Nothobranchius furzeri: one gene and its partners. The protein of the gene in region 3 purifies or fractionates together with the protein of the main gene of each other region. This does not show direct contact. Links are inferred from orthologs where the notes say so. Each region holds a gene or a part of one and is shown on either strand. Other genes may lie near its edges.

Region 1 (3,500 bases), on a different chromosome or scaffold from region 3:
CTGCGCTTGTTCAAATTTGAGAATAGCATTCTTAGTGTCCCCGGCTTTAAAATAAACGTCTGCCAGGCTCACCAGGAGGTCCACGTTGTCCCGCAGAAGGGATTTCTTTTCCAGGGAACTGAAGAAAAATGTGTTTGTTTCATTTTAAAGGAACGAGAATTAAGAAGCAAATTCAGTCCCTGAAGCCATGGAAATGTGTAGTCTGGTTGTTTTTAAAACCGAACATCATCCCCGCCCATCTAGGGAAAACCCTGGATCCACTCCGCAGCTAGGGATGTCCTTTCTCACTTCTGATACGATACCGGTATTGACTGATACCAATCCGACTTGATAACAGCACATATCACACATACTTTTACCTATTTCATAGTGTGGAACGTATGAAAGGCTTGATCGTGAGATATTACTCAATCGGAGAACAAGAGCCAGCAACAGTGAGTATGAAAGAAATTACTATTTTTTTAACCATTGGTTTCATAAACGTAAACCTTAAACATAACGTGTAACAAATGAATAAAAAAAGAAATAAATTAAAAGACTGAAAAATATTTTAAGTAAACACATAAACTAAAGATATATTTTTAAAGTACAAAATACTAATTCAGGGTCACTTCAGTTATGTTTTAGTGTCAGCAAATGGTGGGAAGAGTTGGGGCAGGAACATCAGGAAAAAAAAACCCACATTTTACCAACTGCTACAAGTTGAGTGTCCAAAGTTTCAACGGTGAAAATTCTCATGCAGTGTTTTGTGATGCTGCTTCAAACGTGCAATGAGGTATTAAACTTTGCTGGTCCTGTTCCACCATGGGAAACTTGTGCATGGCAAATGTTGCACTGAGTTACACCGTCTTCTGTGGACTTTAACAAACACGACTGCCGCACAGTTGCCATTGCTCCCTGCTACTTTGCTAGCATGCACGCTCTGACCACGCTGACTTTGCATGCTGGATCTGGGAGCTGCTGGATAGAATTGCTGGAAGGAAATTTAAAGTGAAACGGACGGCTTATGTCGGAGATTTTTCATGCAGTCCAATATAATCTGATAGTGTTTTTGGGCTGATATCGATATCGGAACAGGACGTCCCTAGTTACAGCAAAAAAAGTCCATTACATTCATAGGAATGCTAAGCCTGTAGATGGTAGTAGTCCCGCCTCCCCAAGAAAAAAAAAACATTGTTTGGATGAAGAATAATTAGGTGGTGGACAATAGCTGTCCTGTTGACTTTTGCCTGTGGTCTTCTACATAGAGCAGCATTTGAGCTTTTTAAAACAAACGAGTGTAAACGCAAGTCACACTTGTGATGTCAGTCATTTAGTAGGGAGCAGTGACACTGCAAAGCCTAAAACTCTAAAGCCTGGTTCAGGCTTCTCCGTCAGCTCCGCAAGGGACAGACACGCACGGATTGACGGAAGCGTTTTGCTCTCATACTTCTCCGTCTCCTGGGGAGTGTTGCAAAGCAATTCCCCAGCAGGACAACAGAGGGCGTAGCGCTGTTCTGTGGTATCCTGTCATGTATCGGTCCAAGATAGTGCGTTTATATTGTGTTTTTTGTGTATATAAGAGACTTTTAACACAGACATATTTGTCTCTCATTCTCCCACCTCTTCATGCGCTCCCCACCTCTAAACCCACGTTTCCTGTCATTTCTGTCCACAAATAAAACACTTGCTGCGCATCTTTTCACTCCTCCAGTCACGGGAGAATTAAACGTTCATATTTTTAGTGTTTTCGCGAGGTATTCTTCAAGCTGCTCCGTGTCTGTTGCTAGTTCTCCTCAGCTCTCTTTGCAATGGCGGCACTGTAAACAACAGCGGCGTCCTGACCAATCACAAGCTTGCGTTGCCCGCCTCGACTGACGGATGTTTAGAAAAGAGAGCTCAACTCAATCCGTCCTTGCGGAGCTCTCCGGCAGGCCCACAAGGACGGATAATGGCGTTGCGTGTCTCCGCACTGACGCAGACGGAGGAGCATGAATCAGGCTTAAGTCTACAAGCGTATGCTGACAACACAGAATCCCCAGATCTCCACTTTGGTCAGAGTTTTTGAAATAATAATTTAGGCTACGTTTACAATGCAGGTCTTGATGCTCAATTCTGAATTTTTGAGTAAATCTGATTATTTTGTGTGGCTGTTCACATTATGACTGAAATGCGACACCGAACACTGTCCAGTGTGAACGGGTCACGGCACCAAAGCGACCTCCATGCACAAAAGAAGTCACACACAGTGGAGTCGGAACCAGGGGTGACGGTGGCACGAGTCAAGTGCTCGCCCCGTAATCGGAAGGTTGCAAGTTCGAACCCCTCTCAGTTTGGCGCCGTCGTTGTGTCCTTGGGCAAGACACTTACACCCCCTTGTCTGCTGGTGGTGGTCGGAGGGACCGGTGGCGCCTGTGTACGGCACTAGAGCTGAAACGATTCCTCGAGTACCTCGAATAATTCGAGTACAAAAAATCCTCGAGTCAAATTCTCTGCCTCGAGGATTCGTTTAATTCATATTTAATTAATTCATGGCTTTGCAAACGCACGGGGTCATGTTTCACCCGGACCGAAATAAGTGACGCACATGCCCACTGGACTGATTGCACACGCGAGTAGCGAATATAACTTAACTTTCTCTTAAGCCATGGCGGACAACTTGTACCCCGGTGGAGTGAGAAAAAGACAGAAAATGTCAAAGTTGTGGAACCATTTTTCACGTCGTAAGGTGGAAAACGTAGTCCAGTGTAAATACTGTAACAACATGGATTTAGCCTACTACAACACCACATCCTCCGTGCTGCAGCACCTGTAAATGTCACTTCTGCAAGGGAACTCGGAGCCTCTACAAGATAATGCTTTTTAGCCTGTATTTCTATATATTCTGCAGGCACTGTGCGACTTTTTCGTTTGTAGCACTCAGTTTCAGCTCACACCGTACATCTGGTAGCAACACGTCGGACTTAAAATGTGCTAAAAATAGCAGTTTTTACACAACACGTCGGACTTTTTATTGTGTTATTGATGTCCGTTGTCCCTCGGGGTTTCTGCAGGAGGACACGGGTATTTATGAGTGGCGGAGGAAAACGAAAGAAAGTAAATAAATGTTTTGTGATCAGTATAATTTGACAAAACCACAGCAAACATGCTTTCTCGACAATCCTTGTTAGTGTGAGAAAAAAAAGTGTAGAAATTAAAACGGACGTGTGTTAATAGGGAAACAGCTGGCGAGCTGTTTGCGCCGTGAGCGGTTCTGGTTCTGTTTGGGCCGAAGCCGCTCGCAGCGTTATCCTCCTAGTTATTGTCTGGCTTGCAGGCTAGCAGATTCTCACACGAGGGGAAAATCAGCTCAGGTTGTTTACTTATTTTTTGCACAGGCATTTGTTTACTGTGAAGTAAAGTTGAAGTGCTGAAGTTATGCAAACTAATTTTGAATAAAACTTGAAGAATAACTGGCAATTGCTTGCTCATTTTAAGAGGTCTTTCATAATTATAACATGCTATTTGATATCAAATCAAAT
Region 2 (4,150 bases), on a different chromosome or scaffold from region 3:
CGTTCATCTTGTCTTCCTGTAACGACAACCCCCCTAGCCGCTCAACCCCCACCACTGCTGTGACACCCACTCTCCGCGCGCCCTCATGGACACCGGAGGAACACGTTGCTCCCAAATACACCCCCATGGCTTCGTTCAAGGGATCTAGTCTTTTGAACTGCTCTTTAAGGTAGACGAACAACTAACGAGCAGCCGCCTTGAAAGAGCTATAAATCCCATCACTAATAAGCACACATGCTAAATTCTGCTAATTGTCCAACAAACTCACACAGCAGGCAGGAAGTGTGGTGGTCTGCCAGGAAAAACTCTGACAGGAAACAAAAACAACTGACCTGAACAAACTTAGTGAGACGATGATCCATCTGCAGGAGGATGTCCTCCCACGCTTCGCACATGCATGTGAGTGACAGGTGCAGGTACTGCATCAGGGTGGAGATGTGAGTGAACTTACGCGCCATCCTGGTGAGTTCAGGCAAACAGTCCGACAACAATCCTGTGTCCAGCTGAAACACAAGGAGGGAAGTTAGAGTTAAAGGAAAGAAAAACAAAGTGTGGAGGAGGAACGTGTCCATCTCACCTGGACGTAACAGATGTCTGCGCTGCTGTCAGCAGACTTGACTTCTGTGATGACAGACAGAGACTTGAGGTCACTCGACAGACTCAGACTGCGACATGTTCCTGAAACCTGTAGAAAGTTCATCAATTAAAGTCACAGTCAAATCCGTTAATGCCGTCTACTAAAGATTTTTGGCATAATTAGCTACTTTTTTCCTGCATTTAAATTAGAATTTTTATGATTTCAAATATCTATGCTAACTTTAGAGTCACTTAAAAACATTTTTGGTAAATTTTTTTTACAGACGACAAATGGAACAACTCATCTGAACAAACAGAGCTGCCTTACCCCATCCAGCGTTGCAATCTTGTACATCCCGTACGCATACAGCTCCACATTTCCACCATCTCCTCCAAGAACAAGTACATTTAGTCTGCATGGAGACAGCTTTCATTGGTTCCCATAAATAAAAATTCCAATATCTTAAGGATGTCCATTTGCTCCTGGCAGTAAGTGACTCTAACCATATTTACCTCACTTCTCCAAGGAGGTTGAGTATCTCATCAGACTTCTCCTCACTGTGAAACAGAAATGAATGCAGTCAGTTTCTGTTTGTGCTATACATGCCACATACATCTATGATAAAAAAAAAAGATGTCCCACCTGAAGATCTTTGAAGTTGTGCTGTAGCTGAAAACAAAAGTTTGGACAAATATCAGGCCAGTCAATCCAAAATGTCTTTTCTTGTGACAACATTTTTAATTTTACCTCTTGGGAAGAGTTGGTAATTTAGGAAGAAAAAGTTTAGATTCATCCTCTGAAGTGTAAAAGGAGCTGAGGACACTGAATCACACACAAAAAATCCTTCATATCAGCTTTGACAAGATTTCACAGAACGTGGTATGTTTGTTGAGCTTCCTGATTACCTGCTCTCCTCCATCACCTCCATCCAGTTCATACAGGTTACAGGACTCTGCACTGGAAACATGTGGAGGATCTCTGCTTTCTCAACCCCACAAAGGACAACCTGCTTGGTGTCTCCAAGACTGAAGGCCAATACTGGGGTTACAAAAAACAAATTCTCACAATTCCATTAAGACAAAAATGTGATAAAAAAAAATCCCTTACTTTTGCCATCAGGCCTCCAAGCAAGTGCGGTTATCTTCTTTCCAGTATATTCACTGGGTGGTAGGCTCCAAACCCGGTGGAAACTAGCCAAGCGATGCAGTAGCACCTGTTGAAAATCACAATAATAAACCATCCAAACAACAGGAAACAGTCACCTTGATTCAGAACAGTTAGGGATTTAAAGTCACCTCCCCAGTTGTGTTGGCCAGAGCTATCAGATCCCTCTTTGGAGACCATGCCATACAGAGGACCGGGTTTGGAAGCTGCTTCTCTCCCACTTGCCGAAAGGCAGGCATGTTGTTAGCTGAAAAAGAAAGAAAGTTTACATTCATTATTGTGTGATAAATGGCCAGCAGGGGCCTAATTACAAGGTTTAGAAGATGTACCAAGATGGGCTATTAAAAGTGAGAACAGATTCAATGAGTGATCTGTAAAACATCTAATAAACCTGTACATGCATAACAGAATAATCATCAAAAATCACATACCTTTTCAATATTTCGTTTACTATTGAATATACAACTGATTATTAAATATTAAAAATCTTTTTCTGTAAAGATAATAAATAATTGTAACAATAAAGAAAAATAGAAATGTTAGCATTTGAATACAGAGGCCCAAATGCAGAGTCAAGAATCAGTAATGAAAGAACCGAGTTATGAGCATGACGTCAGCAATAAGACACACTAAACAATACAACTCAATGCGGAGAGCAACGAGACCTTAAATTACACTGCGATGGAGACGAGCTTTGAAACATTTATGTGTTTTCTGCGTGATAACAGTAGAGTTTTCAGGGTCACAACTAAAAGAGAAAACATTGAAGTACTTAACGAGATTCAAAAACAAAAAGGGAGCTAAAGGCACAACACTTTTCCATTTCCAACTCATTTTATGAAGCATAAATTAGCCGCTCGTTAGCTGGAGCCTCACTCACCGGTTTTGCTAACAGCTGTTAGCTAGCAGGTAAAACTGATGATTCACAGCGATTATTTTAACCCGACCAGACGATAACACCAAATAAACCCAAATCGTAAATATACGAATTTAATATCTCATCGTAATATTTTCGCAGTCACTCAAACACCGCCATATTTCTACTTCCACCAATCCCTGTAGAGCAACGGCAGCCGAGAAGAGACAAACGTATTCAGAAGGGGGGGGGGGGGGGGGGAATAAAAAAAAACTCGATTCCTAAATATGTCTAGAGATTTGCACCCCATGATGGCGCCTTTGGTAAGGATTTAAAACAAATTAAAGTTAACGTTTTGGTCCTATTTTTATTTTTTAATAAATGTTATATTCTATGCAGATTAAAAAGTAGATTTAAACTTTGAGGGTTTAGGACAAAATATAAAATAAGTTTTTTCATAATGTGTTTTTGTACTTCTCTGTCAATTGAATGCATTGCTTAGAATTTGTTTGGATTTAAAAGTTAAAAGTGATCATAAAATTCAAGGTTGACTAAATTATATTAATTCCATTAGAAATATAGGAAAGTTTGCAAGGGTGGTTTCATTCTGGTGATATAAAACTATGCTAAAATATTTCAGTACTCATAAATAGATGCTGTACACATGTTATATGGAGACGTCGCCATTGGATAAAGTAGTTATTTATAAATAACACTTCATACAGAGGGTTGGGTGATGACAATTGTCAAGTAGAAATCCAAATTACTCACCAAGTGTTTGCACACGTGTGTATTGTGAGTGTATATGGAAACTCCTACTGGACTTATCAGCAGCACTTAACTGTAATCAGCAGAATGAAGAAGAGCCAGAATAGCTCAGAGAGCACAAAATGTGATGGTGGACTAGAAATAGACCAAGTGAGGCTGCATGGTGGTCATGGTTTATTCTTTCCAAGGCCCAGGATATCTGTCTCGCTTGGTGAGAAATCAGGAAATGCATGAAGTTTAACAAAAATGCTGAGCATCATTCCATATGTGTGTGCAGAATGGAATCGGACCGAATAGTGACCGGGTTCTTCAAGATCCTCATAATAATTTTGAGTTGTTTTAAAGCCATGGAGGAACCAGCTCAGTCTGAGAGGTCAATGGGTGATTATTGTGTGTTTTCAGATGTGGCCAGTTCAGATTATCATAAAAGATTACAAACATTCTGTTGTACTTGCATACAACAGCACAATTGGTGTGAAACTTAGCCATCCCAACATCCTGTGCTTTCTGTGTATAATTAACCAACACCTTGAGCTCCTTCTGTTCACCTAGACCCCCTCAGTCTTCATTGCTCCTGCCAGCAGTCTGGCTGTGTAACATGAGCTAGGGGCCAAATTTAGCCCCACTCAGAGAGCAGTTAGGGACCAGCACAGATGGGACAGCAGCCCACTGCAGAGGCAGAACGCAATTGGACCCTAAACCTGAAAGATCCTACCTGTCATCTGACCAATAAGGCTGCTCTTCTGGGGAGAGAGGCAAAGCCTCTTTTTGTTTCTTTCTCACAT
Region 3 (4,248 bases):
AAACTTTCGACATTGAGATGTTTTGGTGCAGATAATGTCTTATTTCGAGGCTGCACCATGGGTGCCTGTCCGCTCCCGTTATATGGATATACACTGATGGCGATTCGCTAATGGATCTAAATACCCCGGGGAATCCAAGCAGCACCAAAGTTGTCAGCGTGAGTAAACAAACGTACTGCATGCTAGAATTAAGTCCGGGTTGCAATAAACGGGAGTTTTCCTTTAAGCACATAAGCGTGAATACACAACTACGTGCCGGATTTGGTATGCTAATTAAGTTGGGCTGTGAAGCACCTCCCAAATTTGATGTTTATGTTTTTGTTTATTTATTTGGCAGACAAAACTTGGATCGGAGACAACTCGCGTGGGAAATTGCAATGTAGCCATGCGGCAGCTTCTTCTGTTTGTCTGGGAAGGGGAGGCTGCTTTACGGCATCTGGATGTCGTGCGTGTCGGTGTACTTGAAGAAGGCTGTGTATAATAGTCTATAATATCGATACCACTTTTAGTATCAATTTATATCTAGGTATCGATTTTTTTGACAACACCTGTCTAGCTTGGGGGACATAATACAAGAGGTGGGACATGTCATGATTATCTGGTCATTTTGTTTTTCTTGCCCAGGTGAAAACAACATGAGCTCATTTGAAGGCATGAATACGTCCACCACAGTAGGTGATGCTGGCGTGGGTCATACAGCAGAGTTATTACAGTTAGAAAGGCAAACATGGCTGAAATCACTGATTAGGGAAAGACAGTAGCAGATGGTAGTTTCTGAGGCCTTTTGGCCGCTGCAGGCACCCATACCTGTTATCTGGTTTTGGAGTGGGTCGGTTCTCAGCTCCACATAAACAGAAATAACGGACGGCGGTAAGCTTACCGAAACATTTGTAGCTAGCATGGCCGCGGGTTGGCACATGCAGATGTAAGGTGGCGTCTCTAAGCTCGTCTCAGAGCGAACGGTTTCTCCGTGGCCATTACAACATTACTGCTTCACAACTGGGTTTGGTACGCTACAGTAGAGACCCCAAGCTGCCTAGATTCAACAACAAGGTAAATGTGGGTGGAGCCTAAAGCTCAAAGAACAGAGGAGCATTCCCTCGAGTCAAACACACCTCTGACCTCTGTTTGGGCACTCTTTGAGGACGCATAAGCTCCAGTCGGAGTTGGTCGGTCAGCTAATTACCTTTGAGCTGAGACACCACGTTGGTCAGGTAGTTCTTCAGCTTGGAGTCAGTGGTGACCTGCAGACTCATGTCATAGTGTGTGACTCTGGAGAACGTCTCTGGAGGATAGATGCCCCGCTGATACAAGATGCTGTTGATGCCAAAGGCTGAGGAGAACAGAGGGCAGTTTCACGTCATGTTTTAGAACACAAGAACCCTTCATTACAGGAATAAGACGATCTAATGAGGGGGAAATGTTTCCTGTTAATCACATCTGCACATCTCTGATTCAAGCAGTCAAACTAAAGCTTGTCTACTCATCATCTGTGCTGCAAAGCGAGTCACCTATGACTCATGTCAGTGTAAAGAGTTTCTGCAGAACGAAGACCGACGTGTTTGTATACCATGGTGGTTGTGACTAGAAATATGGGCCATTCCCATCTGTACCGGGTCGGCCCGGGTAGCGTAGGTTGTTTACATATCTGGGTGGCCTGGTATGTTTCCGGGCCAACCAAGGCTCATTCTCAGCCCTCTTCTCGAGGGGGTCTGCTTCAGGCCGACCAGGGCCAACACACCCACTGCTGACAGCAAATTCACACCTTCCATTAGAGCAAGCCTCTGATTGGTGGGTAGAATCAGCCCACATGGGCTTAAGGCAAGGATGTGTGGAATCAACCGGGCCAGGCTGGGGCCGACTGGGGCTACCCGGCCTGGTACAGATGGGAATGGCCCAATAGAAAACTGATATAAGGGGGCCACTCCCCGTTTTACTTTAGGGATTTTTTAGTCATATTTTAAGTTTTCCTGCCTTCTTATTTTATGCTAAACTTTTAAAATCTTTGTGAACAAACAAAACATTTGTACGTTGTATTTGCTGCACCTGAGTGTGTGTGTGTGTGTGTGAGCAGAGATTGGTTTAGAATAGGAAGAGTCAAGTATGCAATATTTAAATATGAAGAGTAAAGAATCTTCAGTGTGAAGCAACTCCATCCTGGACCAAACATCGTCCATTAAACGGGTAAATGTAGCTTTCACAAAGATTGCTAGGAATATACACAAGTTGTAGAATAAGAGCACGATATATTTAACTGATGTCGCTCTTCTAATCGATTCGGCATACAAGCCACACAAGAACAGTGCAGTTTTACCTGTAAACGGAGCTCTTTTTCGTCTTTCAACGGGATTTCTGCACCAGCGGAGCGGACTGCCTCCAACACGTTCAACTGACGTTAAAGTTACACCAAATGCTAAATATCAGAAACGCTACCTGTAAGAGCACCGACCTGTTTAAAAACCTTCAGGCAACACGTTTGTATCCCTTTACCAGACTTTAGCTTGCAACGCTGGGTGAGCCACACCGAGGCCCGCTAGCATGCTAGCTGCGCGTCGTGTCAACGGCGTTCAAAAGGCGGAACAGAGACATGAACACTCACAGAAGAAGTCGGCCACTAGTTCTGTACTTCCTTTCAGAGTGATTCCCTTCAGCGTGCTGGTCATCTTTCCAACTGCTACTGGTTGGCTTTCCTCGAGGAAGCTTTGTGCTGATTCTATGTACGACTCAACTACCCGCCGTCTACTTTGAAAATGTGTCAGCTGGACACTACGCGCATGCGCGTTTTTGTGCCGATCACGCCCTAGTGCTGCGTTTACATCTGTATGCCCCTAGAGGGCAGTGTAGATAAGTGTAACCGTAGAGCCATCCGCTTTCTGCATCCGCTCATCCACACAGGGTCACGTCTGCAACCAAAGCCCAGATGGGAGGAGGACAATGGATGGATGGTTAATCCTTGTATCTAGTTTTTATTGTATGTAAGTTATTTTATTTTAACTTATAAAGTGTTTTTCCCATGAAGTCACCGGCTTATTGTCTGACCTCCGTCTTTTTATAAGAGAGTTTAAATGACTGCCTGAACACAACAGCTAAAGCGTGTGAGGACAAAAGCAGGTCCTGAGGTGGATTTTCCTGCACCGACTCTTTAAACAGCTGAACCTTGTGACAGGAGAATTATAACACTGTAAAGACTCAAACCAACAAGTGACTAAATAAAATAGTTGTAAATGGTTGTTATGAAGGCCGGATTAAATAATCTGCACCTCTCTCCCTAGTTTCTACGGCAGAGAAAGAGTTTAGCCAGAAGGGAGTAGACCTTGTGCTGACTTATGGCATAGAGTGTGAGGAAATAACGATCTTTCCACATAATCCAGTCCTCTCGGACCACTTTCTGATAACCTTTGAGTTGAGTTCTCGAGACATGAAAGTAAATTTCACTATAGTCGGTCTCTATCTGACAACGCAGTTGCGTCTTTTAAATCAACTGTTCCATCTTTACTGTCCTCAGCATCTCAGAGGCATGTAGCACAGGGCAATATTTTCATTTCTAGCCCCTCACAAATTGATACCTTAGTTCATCATGTTACTTCCTCTTTACGTGTGGCATTAGATGATGTTGCCCCTTTAAAAAAGAAGGTAATTAGGGACAGGAAGTTGGCTCCCTGGTTTAATTCTCATTTACGAGCTTTAAAACAAAACTCTAGGAAATTGGAGAGAACATGGCGCTCTACGCACCATGAGGAGGCCTACCTGTCCTGGAAAAATAGTCTTGTGCTTTATAAAAATAAGCTTAGACAAACTAGAACTGCTTATATTTCATAGCTAATTGAAGAGAATAAGAATAATCCTACATTTCTTTTCAGTACAGTTGCTAAACTTACACAGAATCATAGCTCTGAGCCATCTATTCCCTTAGCCCTCAGCAGCAATGACTTCATGGGATTTTTTACAAGTAAAATTAATTCTATTAGAAACAAAATCTTTAGCATCCTCCCTAATGCGATTTCTTCTTCCTCAGTAAGTGAGGCAGCATCAGAGGTAACAGTAGAACCTCATCTGTGTTTGAACCGTTTTGATCCAGTTGAGCTTTCAGATTTATCAAAAATATTAGCTTCATCTAAACCTTCAACTTGCATTTTGGTTCCAATCCCAACCAAATAATTTAAAGAAGCATTTCCTTTGGTTACTGCCCCCATTCTAGATATAATCAATCTATCCTTAGTAAATGGATATGTACCACAGGATTTTAAG
Region 4 (3,942 bases), on a different chromosome or scaffold from region 3:
TTGTGAAGAGAATGCTCAGGGTTGTCCATCATTTTCTTGATTCTCTGGAGAATCCTTCCTTGCATTATCTCCTCCAGCGGTTCCACAGTCGTCCCCAGAACAGAACCAGCCTTTGTTATTAGGCTGTTGAGCATTTTCAGGTCCCTGCTTCTGATGCTGCTACCCCAACAGACGATGGCTGAAGAGATTACACTCTCAACAACAGATTTGTAGAAGATCTGGAGCATCTTGCTACAGACATTGAAGGACCCAAGCGTCCCCAAGAAGTGCAGTCTGCTGTGTCCATTCTTGTAAACGGCTTCGCTGTTCTTTCTCCAGTCCAGTCTGTTGTCCAGGTGAACTCCAAGGTATTTGTGTTCCTCAACCACCTCCAGTTCTTCTCCCATGATGGAAACAGTGTTTGACTCCACCCTGTTTCTTCTGAAGTCTAAAATCATCTCCTATGTTTTGTTCATGTTCAAGGTCAGATGATTGTTTCCACACCATGCCACAAAGCGCTCCACCAGCTCTCTGTACTCAGCTTCCTGTCCATCTCTGATACACCTGACAACTGCAGAGTCATCCGAGTATTTCTGTAGATGACAGGTCTCTGATTTGTACTGGAAGTCTGAGGTGTACAGGGTAAAAAGGAATGTGAGAGTACAGTCCCCTGTGGTGCTCCAATGTTACTGATCGCCTGGTTTGATGTGCAGTTCTTCAGCCTCACAAACTGTGGTCTGTTTGTCAGGTAGTCTTTGATCCAGGTGATAGTTGAGGCCCCCACCTGTGTCTTCTGGAGTTTCTGGCAAAGTACATCAGGCTGGAGTGTGTTAAATGCACTGGAGAAATCAAACAACATGACGCTCACAGTGCTGCCTGCTTTGTCCAGATGACAGTGGATTGGTTGAAGCAGCTGGATGATGGCATCTTCAACTCCAACTCATGGCGATAAGCAAACTGCAGCGGGGCCTGATATGTCCTAGTTTGCTTATTCAGGTGGACCAACAGGAATCTTTCCAGGACCTTCATGATGTGGGATGTCAGGGGAACCGGTCTGTAGTCGTCATTAACTGATGAGCGAGTTTTCTTTGGAACTGGAACAAGGCAGGATGTCTTCCACAGGCCTGGAACCTTCTCCTGGGCCAGGCTGAGGTTGAAGAGGTGCTGCAGAATCCCACAGAGCTGCTCTGCACAGGCCTCTGGGTGAGTCCTTGAAAGGGCTTGGAGTTCCTCCATCTTGTTGGCCAGTGATCTCACATTGCCCATTATGATTGATGGAAGAGATGGTTTGAATTTCCTCTATCTCCGTTTTGCTCCCGCTCTGCACCCACGCTTCTTGCTTTTTAGCTCATTTGGGATTTGTGGCTTCAGTTGAGGTATTATTTCAGCCTTTCCAATGTTAATCAGCTGCTCCCGATTGTAAACCAGCTAGCTGCCATGGTTACACATAACAAATGCTCAAAAAGTGAAAAAATAGTAAAAATCCTCCAAGCTTCACAGCACCAGAAACAGAAAAGTAAAATATAAAAAAATAAATAAATACTGTTTTTCTTGAGAAACTAGAAGAAAAAATGTCCAAGAAAAGGCTAAACTTGCATATAGTCAACAGAGCTACTCCAACATGCAGCCACCCAGAGCAGCGCAGTTCTGGAAAGAGCAGCTCAGAAGGGCATGTGGTGATTCGTGTAGAACCAAACAGGAAAACACACAAGTTTGATTCCCCAGTGCCAATAACAGCATTTCTAACAGTTTTTTTTTTTGTCTGGCACACATTTCTATCTGCACATAGAAGCATGCAAAAAATACATTTCTTAAGCACTTGAACACTCAGAAAACCAGCTGACACTTCAGAGTATTGTTTTGTCTAAATAATTATATTGTATTCATATTTTCTGTTGTGAATTATCATGTTTAAGGACCAATCTGTGTGTTTTAGTGGCGCCTAGTGACAAAAATGCTGATTAAAAACTGTCTGAAATAGTGATGTGACGTTCACGAACTAATCGAATCTTTTGAAAGGGTTTTCAAAGTGAATGATGAGAGCCGAGTCCCTGCAGAGAGCCGTTCATCTTAACAAACCTCCCCGGAAGTCGGTCAAACTCACCCCCTCAAACCCCACCCACTGCTGTGACGGATGTAGGAGGAACCATGGATATGTATATAGACAAGTGTTTACATGCATATCTGTGGGAGGAACGTTAATCAACCCCGTGCGCCCTCACAGACACTGCAGGAAGACAGTGCTATTGATCCCCCTCTCTTGGCTTCACTTCGTTCAAAGGAGCCAGTCTTTTGAACGGCTCTTTGACGTAAACGACCGACTAATGAACGGCTCCCATGATAAAGCCACAAATCCCATCACTAGTCTGAAAGCACACATCACACTTGTTAAATACACAAGTAAGTAATGGAGGACCCAGGGAAGTGTGGGAGACCGACAACTGGATGGTCCAATGGCTGATATCGTTCTTGTTGCCGAAACACAAATGGGAGAAGTGAAGCACACGACAGAAGACACAAGTATAAGTGGTGGTTTAACAATAAAACATGTACATTTACTCTAACCAATCACAACAGAAGAAACAGTGGTTAGGTTCGTCAGGATTATAAAACCCAAGTATTCGGCCGTGAGTAAACATGTTCCGTAGAATGACCCACCTTTCAGCAGAAGCTTGTAGGAATTAGCGGCTGGGTTCCAGTGATTAGAACAACAAACGCTTCTAGAAAGTAAAAATATTTATAAACCAAACTAATAAAGCGTCGAGATTGTGGCTAATCGCGTAACCTGTCTGTATCTAGTACCGTTGCTCTCTGAGCTCCAGCTGACTGAATTTACCCGATGACTTGTAACGTTTTTTGAACAATGCGCTTCTCCTGCTTGACGAGTCTCTGATTGGCTACAACTCAAATTTGCTGTCTTCTGATTGGCTAATACGTTGTGCGCAACATAAACGCTCCGTACTCGAACAGGTGAATTTTATTAGTTCCTGTTACACGACGTTAGGTTGAAAAAAACTTAAGATAGCATGTTCATTTTGCATAGCTAAAATTTTTTATTTTTTCCAACACATTTAAAACATGTCACAAAAACAAGGTGTCTGAAAGTACCTGCTTCTTTTACAATTTTATTTTTACTTGTCAACACTTTTTCATCTCATTAATTTCAGAATATTTTTTAAACCTGTCAAACTAATCACCAATAATGTGAACAATCACCTAAACTTTAAGCATATTTTGCCCGTGACTTCGTCCCAGATTTTCGTTTCGGCCCAGTGTGAATTTGAGTTTGACACCCCTGACCTAAAGGATCAGATGGCTAATAAGGCAAACCTGCAGAAAAAAAAAAAACTAGGATAAGTTGTGTTTTGGATGCTGGCTGGTCCAGCTCACGACGCTAGTCAGCATGGGATGCTGTCTGGTCCAGGATGGATGCTAGTCTGCATGATGGTCTAGAATCCAATTAACAGCATCTCTCATGCAGGATTAGCATCACATGTTGAACCAACATATGCTGGGTTTTTTTTCAGTAGAGAGGGTTCCAGTGGACACTTTCTACAATCACTGTGGACATCTTGTCAACCAGCGACTTCATATCAAATAATAATGTTATTATTGCCGCAAAGATTTTAGTTTTCTAAAAGTTGAACATTTTTCTTTGATAAGAAATTAAATTAATTACACTTAAACTATTTAATCAGTGACTAATATTGAAGATACAATGGAAAGAAAAAAACATTTATCTGTTTTTTTATTATTATTTACACAAATCTATGCCAGCAGCATCAGTTCTAAAATGGAAAAAATAATCAACACAATAAACTTACAGAACACAAGGACTACAAACTTGTGAGATGTGTTTACCCACTACAATCCCTAAAGTAAGTGTGGCAACAACAGGACTTTATTTATTCAGAGGTCTAAAAGAAGTCCATCCCTAGCCATGGGGAAGAGAACACGGAGCAT
Region 5 (4,258 bases), on a different chromosome or scaffold from region 3:
AAGATGGATGATTCATTTCTATGAGTTTGGCGTGGATGATGAGAACACACCTCTCACCTTTCCTTTCAGTGATGAGCGTCTGCCGCCGGGCCTTCATGTCCAGGCTCAGGTTCTCCACCATACGGTTGATGCAGTTGTCCAGGGCCAGACACCGGGTCTGGGACTCGATAGCCTGTCTACAGATGGGACACTCGTTTTTCTTCTTGCGCCACAACTTGATGCAGTAACAGCAGAAGCTGTGAGCACAGTTCAGGATGACCGCCTGTACAGGGACATTTTTTTTTAATTTCAGCAGGTGAAGTCGGGTTTTTGTGAGTAAGATGATCCCAAACAGGTTCCTGGCTCTACCTCGATGAAGAGCTCTGAGCAGATGATGCACTGGAGCTCGTTCTCCAGAACCTCTGTGACTTGTGTTACTACCTCCTCCTTTTGGGCTTTCGCCTTTTCTTTTTCCTCCTGGAGGAAAAAAAATATGAATCAAAGTGACAACCAAGGTAAAAATGTGTGTTTTAAAAAGTGTCTTTCAGGCACCTTTGTTTCTTCTAGTTCTTTGTTTTTCGCAGAGAGGATTTCTTCAAATGTTTTTCGAGAGTCGGCAAGCTCGTCGATCACTTTCTTTTGCTGTTTGTTGAAAAAACAGGCACAAAAAAACTTTTTATTACATTTAATCAAAAACTTAAAGAAATAAACTAAAAAACTGTTAGTTTAAATTAAATGTGTTAACAGCTTTTAATTAGTTTAATTGAACCTTCTTACTTCCTGAAGAGCCTCTTCAAGTTGTTTTTTCATTAGCTCCTCTTGCTGCTGTGTTTTCTGCTCCTAAACGCATAAAAGACAGACGATTCACTTAAATTGAAACTTTATTTTTATGGACATATATATTTTTCTAATTGTAAATGCAGATGAACCTTTTGATTCACATATGTCAGAACAAGAAGGGTGAGGAACGTGTTACTTTCCATATGTGGCGCTTTTGTTTGAAACCCCAAAAAAGATGCTCAATATTAATATGCTCTGGAATATTAATATCGATATGGAATATGATGCAGAAATGTAGCTCTTTAACAGGTTTTGTTATGTTTAAGATCTTTTTTTTGCAACGTTACCAAGATTATTTAAAGTATGGCTGAATCATTTTGAAATGTGGAGAATTAAAAGTTAAACTAACGCTGTAAAATAAAGCAATTGCGGGTTGGGGGAATGAAAATGTAACGATGTTTCAAAAAGAAAAAAAAACAACACTCCTGACCTCCAACTGTCTCCTTGTTTTACTGAAGGTTCTCTCTAAAGTCTTCATTTGACACATTTTGGCTCTAAGGGTTTCCAGTTGACCCTGCAGCTCACGGACCTGCTCCCGTCGGAGAGGATCTGCCCGCCTGGGTTCTCCTCCAAGAGATGATACCTGCTTCTGGGTGTCATCCACCTGCTCCCGTAACAGCAGGAGATTCTGGCTGTACCTGCAGGTTATACATTAATATTTACAACTTTTACACAACAGAACATCAGAATGGACAACTCCTAAAGAGTATTATTTTCATTAAAAGTAGAGAGGAGTCTGTTTGAATATGTGACACATAATTCAGCAAATGTATTAAATAAAAGCTTGTAAAGGAGCAGTGTCTTTGGTTTGATTGAGAACCTTTTTTACGAGGAGTCACACTTTACCTCTGCAGGTTGTCCACTTCACAAGGATCACTGGATCCATCAGAGTGCTGCTCTTGTTTTTGTGTGCTGGATGCCGTCTCCTCCAGGTGTGTGTTACTGAGCCGCTGCTGGCATTTCACCGCAGACAGAGGACAGGGTTTTGCAAAAGATTTCCCTTCTGAATCGCAGCGGTACAGCTTAGGCTTTGATGTAGAAGGCTCGACTTCCTCCACAGTCAACTTCCTTTTGGATTTTTTGGAGACTTGCGGCTCTTTAGCCCAAGTTCTACATGCCTTTGCCAGGTACGGCTGAATGTTTCTGAGCAGTCGCCGGATGAGGATGTAATCAAATTCTACTTTGGTTCCTGATAAAGGAACTCCAAGTCGGATCGAGTCTCCAAGTTTGAGCAGGTAAGGTTCATCGGCAGAAATCCGATTTCCGTTCACCCAGACACCATTGAGACTCTGTGGAAGATAATTAATAATAATAATAATAATAATAACTTATTTACTAAGATTTAACTTGGTATTAGCTGCTGCTGTTAATAATAGCCCCATCATCTGTTAGAGATCAATTTTAGGAGAGTTAGCTCAAGAAATAAGGCTACCTTTTTGTCTACCACTGTCCAGTGACCGTCTTCTATCTGTCTGAAGGCACAGTGCAGTCTGGAGATCATGAGAGGACTACTTGAAGACAGCAGCTGGTAGGTGACATCCAAACCACGTCCAACAGTGATCTGAGCAGTCAAAAACAAACGTCAATTTACAGTTTTTCCATATAAACAGGGTCCACTACGCCGTTAGAAAAAACTTAATGAATAAAATGGCATGCCTATTGTATGTATACATAGCACAATCCTGAAAATGATTTTTTTTAGTTAAGCTAACATTAGCAAACTGTACCTCTGCCTTTTCGAACAAACGAAGCCAGTCTGATTTTTTTCCGACTCTCATCAGACACAAGACCTCCGAGTCCGAACATTCACCGTCCTCAGCCGAACATGAATCCGCCGTTGCACTATCCATGTTAAGCCATTCTGTCACAGGCCAAACACTCCGCTGTTGTTGTGTCTTATATGTATATGTCGATGTGTGTCTTCCGTCACATAACTGCTACATGCTAACGCGGTAGCGATCCGGGAGACACCGGAAAACGGTACAATTCATTTCGAAATAAAAGCGACGGGAAACTGCTAAAATAAATATCAATGTTTTATTTATTATTTCTTGTATAACGGCACGTATCACGTGTTGTAAATCTTTTGAACAAGGCAAAATAAATAAAAAAGTATGAATAGAATAGGTTTCTGGGATACGTTACTCTTTATTTATTGACATTTTTAAACATGAAAGTAACGTTAAAAAGTAAATGCTAGTATTTTGGATGATAAATATTTTAATATATTAAATATATTTTTGCTTTATGAAGTTTAAATTTTTTTTAAAGCAATGAATTTTTTTTATCGAAAATTCAAATTAGAGCACTTTGTTGTTGTGATTTGTTCTCAGTCAGGCAACCCAGCACCCTAAAACGAGTGCACCTAACCCCGGGGCGGGACTTCCTGTCTGCACCGGAAGTCCCAGTGTTGAACAGGCAGAAAGGGCTTGGTCCGTGTGTCACCGGTCTTATCCGCGTATGTCTGGACGGGAGATAACCAGGCTGCCGAAGCTGCGTAAATAAATCTCCACCTCGGCTATGCTGCCCTGAGAGCGCCGCGAGTATCCGCCCCGCCAAAATGTCTGATGTCAACAAGACTATTCAGAAATGGCACGCCAGTTTCAAGAAAGGCACAGACTTTGACTCGTGGGGACAATTGGTAGAGGCTATAGACGAGTACCAAATGTGAGTTACATTCAACATGTGTGTCTTATTTTTGTACGATTGAGTGTAAACATCTGGAACAGCGAGGACGGCTTGTTTAGCTTTTTATTTTTTTGCTGTCTTAAAGCTTGTCAGCTCTTAAACCTGCAGAAGTTAGCCTCGGAGCTGTCAGTCAGCCCCCACAGCAGTAAATAAACCCTTCCCATCCATGACGTGATGTGGCATTGTTGCAGAGGCAGCGGAGTCCCATCCCATCTTCATTCACAGAGGGGAGAAGAACAAAAAGAAACACCCAAAGCTGAATGTCTTGTTTCTGAGCGTTAGGAGAAGAGAATAACCAATATTCCTTAGAGTGTTGGGAAACAGTCAGCCACACCCTCTCATTGTTATGGGTGGGTTTCGTGTGTTCAGTGAGGAAAGCTCTCTTGTTCTCTGAGGAGATCAGACTCCGCAAGTTATTTCAGGATGTGATCATGTTTATGTAATAATTCATTTTAATGACACGTTTTAGATTTCTTTAGTGCAGATAGATGACTTGACAGTGTCCCACGTTGACCAAAAGGGGGCGCAGAACAGCCCACTGATGTGACAAATCGTCTTGGAATTGATTGATTAACCCATCTAACTGTTCTCGTTAATCCAGATTAGCAAGGCAGCTGCAGAAAGAGGTCCAAAATTCAAATTCATCAGATTTCACAGAAGAGCAGAAGGTAATAATTGCATCAGTCTGCAGGCTAAACTCGCCTGCTTTGCTTCAAATCACAGCATCTTGTTTCTTTCTGGACATTCAGAA
Region 6 (4,168 bases), on a different chromosome or scaffold from region 3:
TAAGACTTCAAGCTACTGCAGCGTTTTTCTGTTAAAAATGCTGCTGCAGCTGACAGTCCCCTGCAAAGTTTCTTCAGAAACTTTTCTAGTTGTTTGTGTTACAGACTTGTGGGTCTCCTTAAGGCTGATCGGGGCATTTTACCTCTGCTGCAGCTGATGGATTGAGGTAATGTGGACCTATGAACCGTCTACAGGTGGTTCAGAATGCCTGTGCTCGGCTTCTGACCAAGTCCTCCAAACACACCCACATCACCCCGCTTCTCCTCCAGCTTCACTGGCTGCCAGTCAACTTCAGGGTTCATTTCAAGATCCTGGTTCTGGTCTATAGGGCCTTACATGGACAAGCACCATCTTATATTGGTGATCTTCTTAGTGCCTACACCCCCAGCAGGTCCCTGAGGTCCAGTGATCAAAGCCTACTGGTTGTGCAGCACACCAGGCTAAAGACCAAAGGTGACAGATCATTTGCTGCTGTGGCCCTCAGACTCTGGAACTCTCTCTCCCTGAACCTGAGATCAGTGGACTCAGTGGTCTCCTTTAAAAACCAGTGGAAAACTCACCTGTTCAAGCTGGTTTTGGTATGACCGTCATCACCCTCTCATTGTTCTGCTTTCCCTACCTATTCCACCTTCCTCAGGATCCACTGATCTCCCTCTTTCCTATTCACTCTCTCTCTTTCTTTACATTTTTTATCACAATTGTCTATTTTTTGCTCATTTAAAATATATTTCTAATTATTTTCTAAATTATTTTTTATTGTAGCGTTATGAATATGCCATTTCTGCCCTTAACAGCTGCCCTTTGACACAGTGACAGTGTGCATAAGTTGCCAAGGTCGTGCGCTTGCTTGTGATGTTTACATTCCAGCAAAGAAGACAGAAGAAGGACGAAGAATGCTTTTCATTAGTTAATCAAAGAACTTTATTTCTAATAAAGCTAATCAAAACAACTGTTGGTCAATAATAATCAGGTGACTGATCTGTGAAATCACAATGTTATGATTTGTGTTTAATGAATAACAGGACTTTGGACTAACTGAGCTAGACATCCTGATCCACATAAGGTAAACACATGACACATTGTTCACTCATCCAATCAGAACTTCCTTTCTGATGTGTGGCAGAGCTCTGTGGTGTTTAGTTAATCTGTCCACTCCGATTCGCTAAGAATCATAAACAACTGAGCTTAGTAAAAGAGAACAACGCCATTTTAATTTAGTTCCATCGCAAGTTTCAACGTAGTTCCAACGTGAGTTCAACCAGCTCTCAAATCCATCTGATGTACATCATCGCTAAGTGAAGTACAGGCTGGCCAGTTGTATTTTCTACTTTTAAGCTGAGAACTGTCAAGCTGGAAAACTATGTGACGCTGAAATCTGCCGTTGTACCGGGAGACTTGCCATAGACTGGTTTGTTGTGCTGCCGACGCTGTTTCACCAGTTCCAGCACCAAGGAGGGTTGAGGACCTGGCATCTGGATCTAACACGGAGGTCTTCGCACGGTACGTAGATCGGCATAGATAGCGTCTCATGTCTTCCTCCTGAAGTCCATCGTCGATCAGTTAGGGCAACAACAACTCGCACTCAGACTCGCTTTCACCAGATGGAGGTTCTGAACTGACACACACACACACCAACACTTCAGCTTACATCCATCTGCATCCATCATTAGAGAGTTAGTCCTGGTGACTGTTTCGAATAATTATAAAATAAATATTCTTAAACGTCCCAGCTCTTTCTCTCTTCTTGTCTCTAATTCAATACAAGGTGTTTGAATAAAATCCCCTGTGGTAAAAACAACCTCTTCTGATTCTAAGGGCCCGGTCCAAAGATTAATGATCCAGCTCAGGTTTGAATCAGTGATATCTCTGGACCTTAATAAAAGTGTAAGAATATACCAATTATATTCCGCTACATTATATTTTACTTTTTTTTGTGAAGCGCTTCGTGATTTTTATCTTGAGAGGCGCTATAGAAAAGATATTTTCTTCTTCTTCTTCTTCTTCTTCTTCTTCTTCTTCTTCTTCAGCTTGACTGATTTCTAACCTTTGTATGTACATTAAGTCAACTCATTCAAACCATATAATTTCTAATCTGATTTTCACCCACCAGAATGCTAATTTTTGTTTTTATATGTTTGTCTGGTTTTATTTTTTAATTCAATACATTATTAACCAGGTATCTTTTTCTTTTGTTACGGCCATTTTAGCCGGGTACAAACCAGCAATATGTATTATTTGTCAAACACAATATCCCTACGTATTGATGGTTGGAAATCATAGTTATTAAACACATTTGTCTTTATTTTTACCATTGTAATTTAATTACCCCAAAATCTTAAAAACAAATTTGACTTATCGATGAAAAATCGATTTGTTTGTGTGGTATGAACTATACATTAATTGGTTTTGTATTTTTAGACAAGTTAAGGGACTTCACTATTAATGTTTTACAAAACAGACTCACAAAGTAAAGAAAAAATACACAAAAGTCTCTGGTCGAGCACAGTCGAACACAGACCGTCCTGATCACGACAGCCAATCAGCTCCCAGTACGTAAATTTGTCGTTGCTTATTGGCTGAGCCGTGGAGGAAAAGGCTGGCTGGACAGCAAAGATGTCCGCGGTCATTTGAAAACCTGTTGTAGCCAAATCATTATTTTGCCAGCTTTATCGACTCGTTTTGTCTGTACGCAGCGGTCACACCGTTGTGCTCAAACAAGCCTTACAAAAATAAAAGACGAGGACTCCGCGACAAGAGCCAGACTATTCCTTATTATCAGGCAAGCGAATAAATATGTCCCTGTATTGTTAATGCTAATGCTAGCTAACACGCTATCTAGCAATTAACAGTGGTTCTATATGAGGGATTAGCTATAGCATGCTAATGTTTGGTTACTTCCAGCTGTATAATAAAAAGAGAGCTTTGCTTAAGGCTGCTAAAATAACCTATCGAACCTATTATGAACAGACGCGTAGCTTCTGAAACTATCGTTGACTACAACGATCGTAACAATCTTTAATAGAGAAGTGATGACTTAATTCGTGCTATTCTGCAATTGACTGTACTTATAGAATCTTAATTAAGAATAAATAAAATTATAATACAGTATTTAAAGACATTAACTGTTGCCAGAGTTCTTATTTAAAATTTAACATGTTTTCAGGTCTGAATAGGAGAAAATGCTATTTTAACTGTTCTGTCTAAATTGTATTCATGTCTTCCACACATGATTCAGTCTGTCTATCTGTCTAGAGAGATAGATTTGTGTGTGTGTCTTTCTAATTATTTATCTTTATTCTTATTTTGCCACAGAAATAATGCTGAAATCTGTAACTCATGTCGGAAGTCGTGTATGAAGAGACAGCCACGATGATTGCCGCAGGGGAATTGCAGTCGTTTGTCCCGTTTGGCCGCGAGCACTGCAGGAACCATCCAAATGCCTTCAACCTGCAGCTTCGAGAGCTCCAGCCAGCCTCTGAGCTCTGGTCATCTGATGGTGCTGCTGGCCTGGTAGGGTCTCTGCAGGAAGTCAGTCTGCAGGAGAGAGAGAGGGTGAGATTGCATGATCTTTGAGCGTTAATTTGAAATGTGCCATGTTTATTGTTTAGTAGTTCTTTGGTTCACACTAATGAATGGCGTTTAATTGAAGGAATGGTGGCAGCTAAGGAAGGGATGCACGGGAGTCAAAGAAGAGGAGGTCATGTTTGAAGAAGAGCTTTATGCGGCTGGAAACGTGGTTGTTTGGAGTCAAGGCAGCCGGACACAAGCCTCTAGTGTGTACAAGGCTTTCACTGTTGACAGTCCAGTGCAGCAGGTTGGCAAATATGAAAGCCAAATATCAATTTCTGTTTAGAAAATATAAATTTTAATTGTTAAATTCAAAGCTCAATGAAATCTCATGGTTTCTTTCCCGGTCTTGACACAATCTTGTTTTTTTCTGAAGGCTTTATGGTGCAACTTTGCTGTTCTTCAAAACAACAATGACGGTACAGTAATATTTAAGACCGTTTGTTGTCGGCTAGTAAGAATTGCTGCAGCTCTACCTTTCTATCTTTATTGAAATGACTACATGCTTTTAATTGTTGTCTTTTTGCAGAAGAAGTGGAGCAGACGATTTGTATTGTCCAGAGCAGCTGTATTAATGTTCACACTGTGACTGGGAAAGATT

The links.
Region 1: the proteins of mad2l1 (region 3) and anapc7 purify together in Homo sapiens (affinity purification with mass spectrometry; 3 studies listed by BioGRID and IntAct, with this or other methods). This does not show direct contact. The link is inferred for Nothobranchius furzeri from reciprocal best matches to the Homo sapiens genes MAD2L1 and ANAPC7.
Region 2: the proteins of mad2l1 (region 3) and anapc4 purify together in Homo sapiens (affinity purification with western blotting; 14 studies listed by BioGRID and IntAct, with this or other methods). This does not show direct contact. The link is inferred for Nothobranchius furzeri from reciprocal best matches to the Homo sapiens genes MAD2L1 and ANAPC4.
Region 4: the proteins of mad2l1 (region 3) and kif20a purify together in Homo sapiens (affinity purification with mass spectrometry; 4 studies listed by BioGRID and IntAct, with this or other methods). This does not show direct contact. The link is inferred for Nothobranchius furzeri from reciprocal best matches to the Homo sapiens genes MAD2L1 and KIF20A.
Region 5: the proteins of mad2l1 (region 3) and rnf8 purify together in Homo sapiens (co-immunoprecipitation; 3 studies listed by BioGRID and IntAct, with this or other methods). This does not show direct contact. The link is inferred for Nothobranchius furzeri from reciprocal best matches to the Homo sapiens genes MAD2L1 and RNF8.
Region 6: the proteins of mad2l1 (region 3) and anapc1 purify together in Homo sapiens (affinity purification with mass spectrometry; 3 studies listed by BioGRID and IntAct, with this or other methods). This does not show direct contact. The link is inferred for Nothobranchius furzeri from reciprocal best matches to the Homo sapiens genes MAD2L1 and ANAPC1.

The regions. Positions count from the first base shown.
Region 1 is NC_091757.1:28,335,477-28,338,976, forward strand, and holds part of anapc7 (anaphase-promoting complex subunit 7), read right to left. Parts: intron 119-3,500; coding exon 1-118. UniProt on the Homo sapiens protein: Component of the anaphase promoting complex/cyclosome (APC/C), a cell cycle-regulated E3 ubiquitin ligase that controls progression through mitosis and the G1 phase of the cell cycle.
Region 2 is NC_091748.1:39,288,442-39,292,591, reverse strand, and holds the start of anapc4 (anaphase-promoting complex subunit 4), read right to left. Parts: upstream 2,801-4,150; 5' UTR 2,622-2,800; intron 1,989-2,621; 5' UTR 1,981-1,988; coding exon 1,873-1,980; intron 1,791-1,872; coding exon 1,685-1,790; intron 1,616-1,684; coding exon 1,483-1,615; intron 1,400-1,482; coding exon 1,325-1,399; intron 1,247-1,324; coding exon 1,220-1,246; intron 1,135-1,219; coding exon 1,090-1,134; intron 990-1,089; coding exon 905-989; intron 686-904; coding exon 578-685; intron 504-577; coding exon 333-503; intron 1-332. UniProt on the Homo sapiens protein: Component of the anaphase promoting complex/cyclosome (APC/C), a cell cycle-regulated E3 ubiquitin ligase that controls progression through mitosis and the G1 phase of the cell cycle.
Region 3 is NC_091743.1:87,157,328-87,161,575, forward strand, and holds the start of mad2l1 (mitotic spindle assembly checkpoint protein MAD2A), read right to left. Parts: upstream 2,801-4,248; 5' UTR 2,664-2,800; coding exon 2,600-2,663; intron 1,334-2,599; coding exon 1,187-1,333; intron 1-1,186. UniProt on the Homo sapiens protein: Component of the spindle-assembly checkpoint that prevents the onset of anaphase until all chromosomes are properly aligned at the metaphase plate.
Region 4 is NC_091750.1:46,176,495-46,180,436, reverse strand, and holds the start of kif20a (kinesin-like protein KIF20A), read right to left. Parts: upstream 2,801-3,942; 5' UTR 2,782-2,800; exon of another isoform or gene 2,700-2,781; 5' UTR 2,638-2,699; intron 1-2,637. UniProt on the Homo sapiens protein: Mitotic kinesin required for chromosome passenger complex (CPC)-mediated cytokinesis. Following phosphorylation by PLK1, involved in recruitment of PLK1 to the central spindle. Interacts with guanosine triphosphate (GTP)-bound forms of RAB6A and RAB6B.
Region 5 is NC_091742.1:8,358,452-8,362,709, reverse strand, and holds the start of rnf8 (E3 ubiquitin-protein ligase rnf8), read right to left. Parts: upstream 2,801-4,258; 5' UTR 2,670-2,800; coding exon 2,547-2,669; intron 2,381-2,546; coding exon 2,252-2,380; intron 2,109-2,251; coding exon 1,666-2,108; intron 1,458-1,665; coding exon 1,250-1,457; intron 820-1,249; coding exon 757-819; intron 622-756; coding exon 532-621; intron 457-531; coding exon 349-456; intron 263-348; coding exon 58-262; coding exon of another isoform or gene 51-57; intron 1-50. Other genes in the region: aida (axin interactor, dorsalization-associated protein), read left to right, coding at 3,380-3,486, 4,109-4,175, 4,257-4,258. UniProt on the Homo sapiens protein: E3 ubiquitin-protein ligase that plays a key role in DNA damage signaling via 2 distinct roles: by mediating the 'Lys-63'-linked ubiquitination of histones H2A and H2AX and promoting the recruitment of DNA repair proteins at double-strand breaks (DSBs) sites, and by catalyzing 'Lys-48'-linked ubiquitination to remove target proteins from DNA damage sites.
Region 6 is NC_091752.1:26,758,761-26,762,928, forward strand, and holds the start of anapc1 (anaphase-promoting complex subunit 1), read left to right. Parts: upstream 1-1,368; 5' UTR 1,369-1,500; intron 1,501-2,640; exon of another isoform or gene 2,641-2,779; intron 2,780-3,312; 5' UTR 3,313-3,336; coding exon 3,337-3,552; intron 3,553-3,649; coding exon 3,650-3,814; intron 3,815-3,943; coding exon 3,944-3,986; intron 3,987-4,096; coding exon 4,097-4,168. UniProt on the Homo sapiens protein: Component of the anaphase promoting complex/cyclosome (APC/C), a cell cycle-regulated E3 ubiquitin ligase that controls progression through mitosis and the G1 phase of the cell cycle.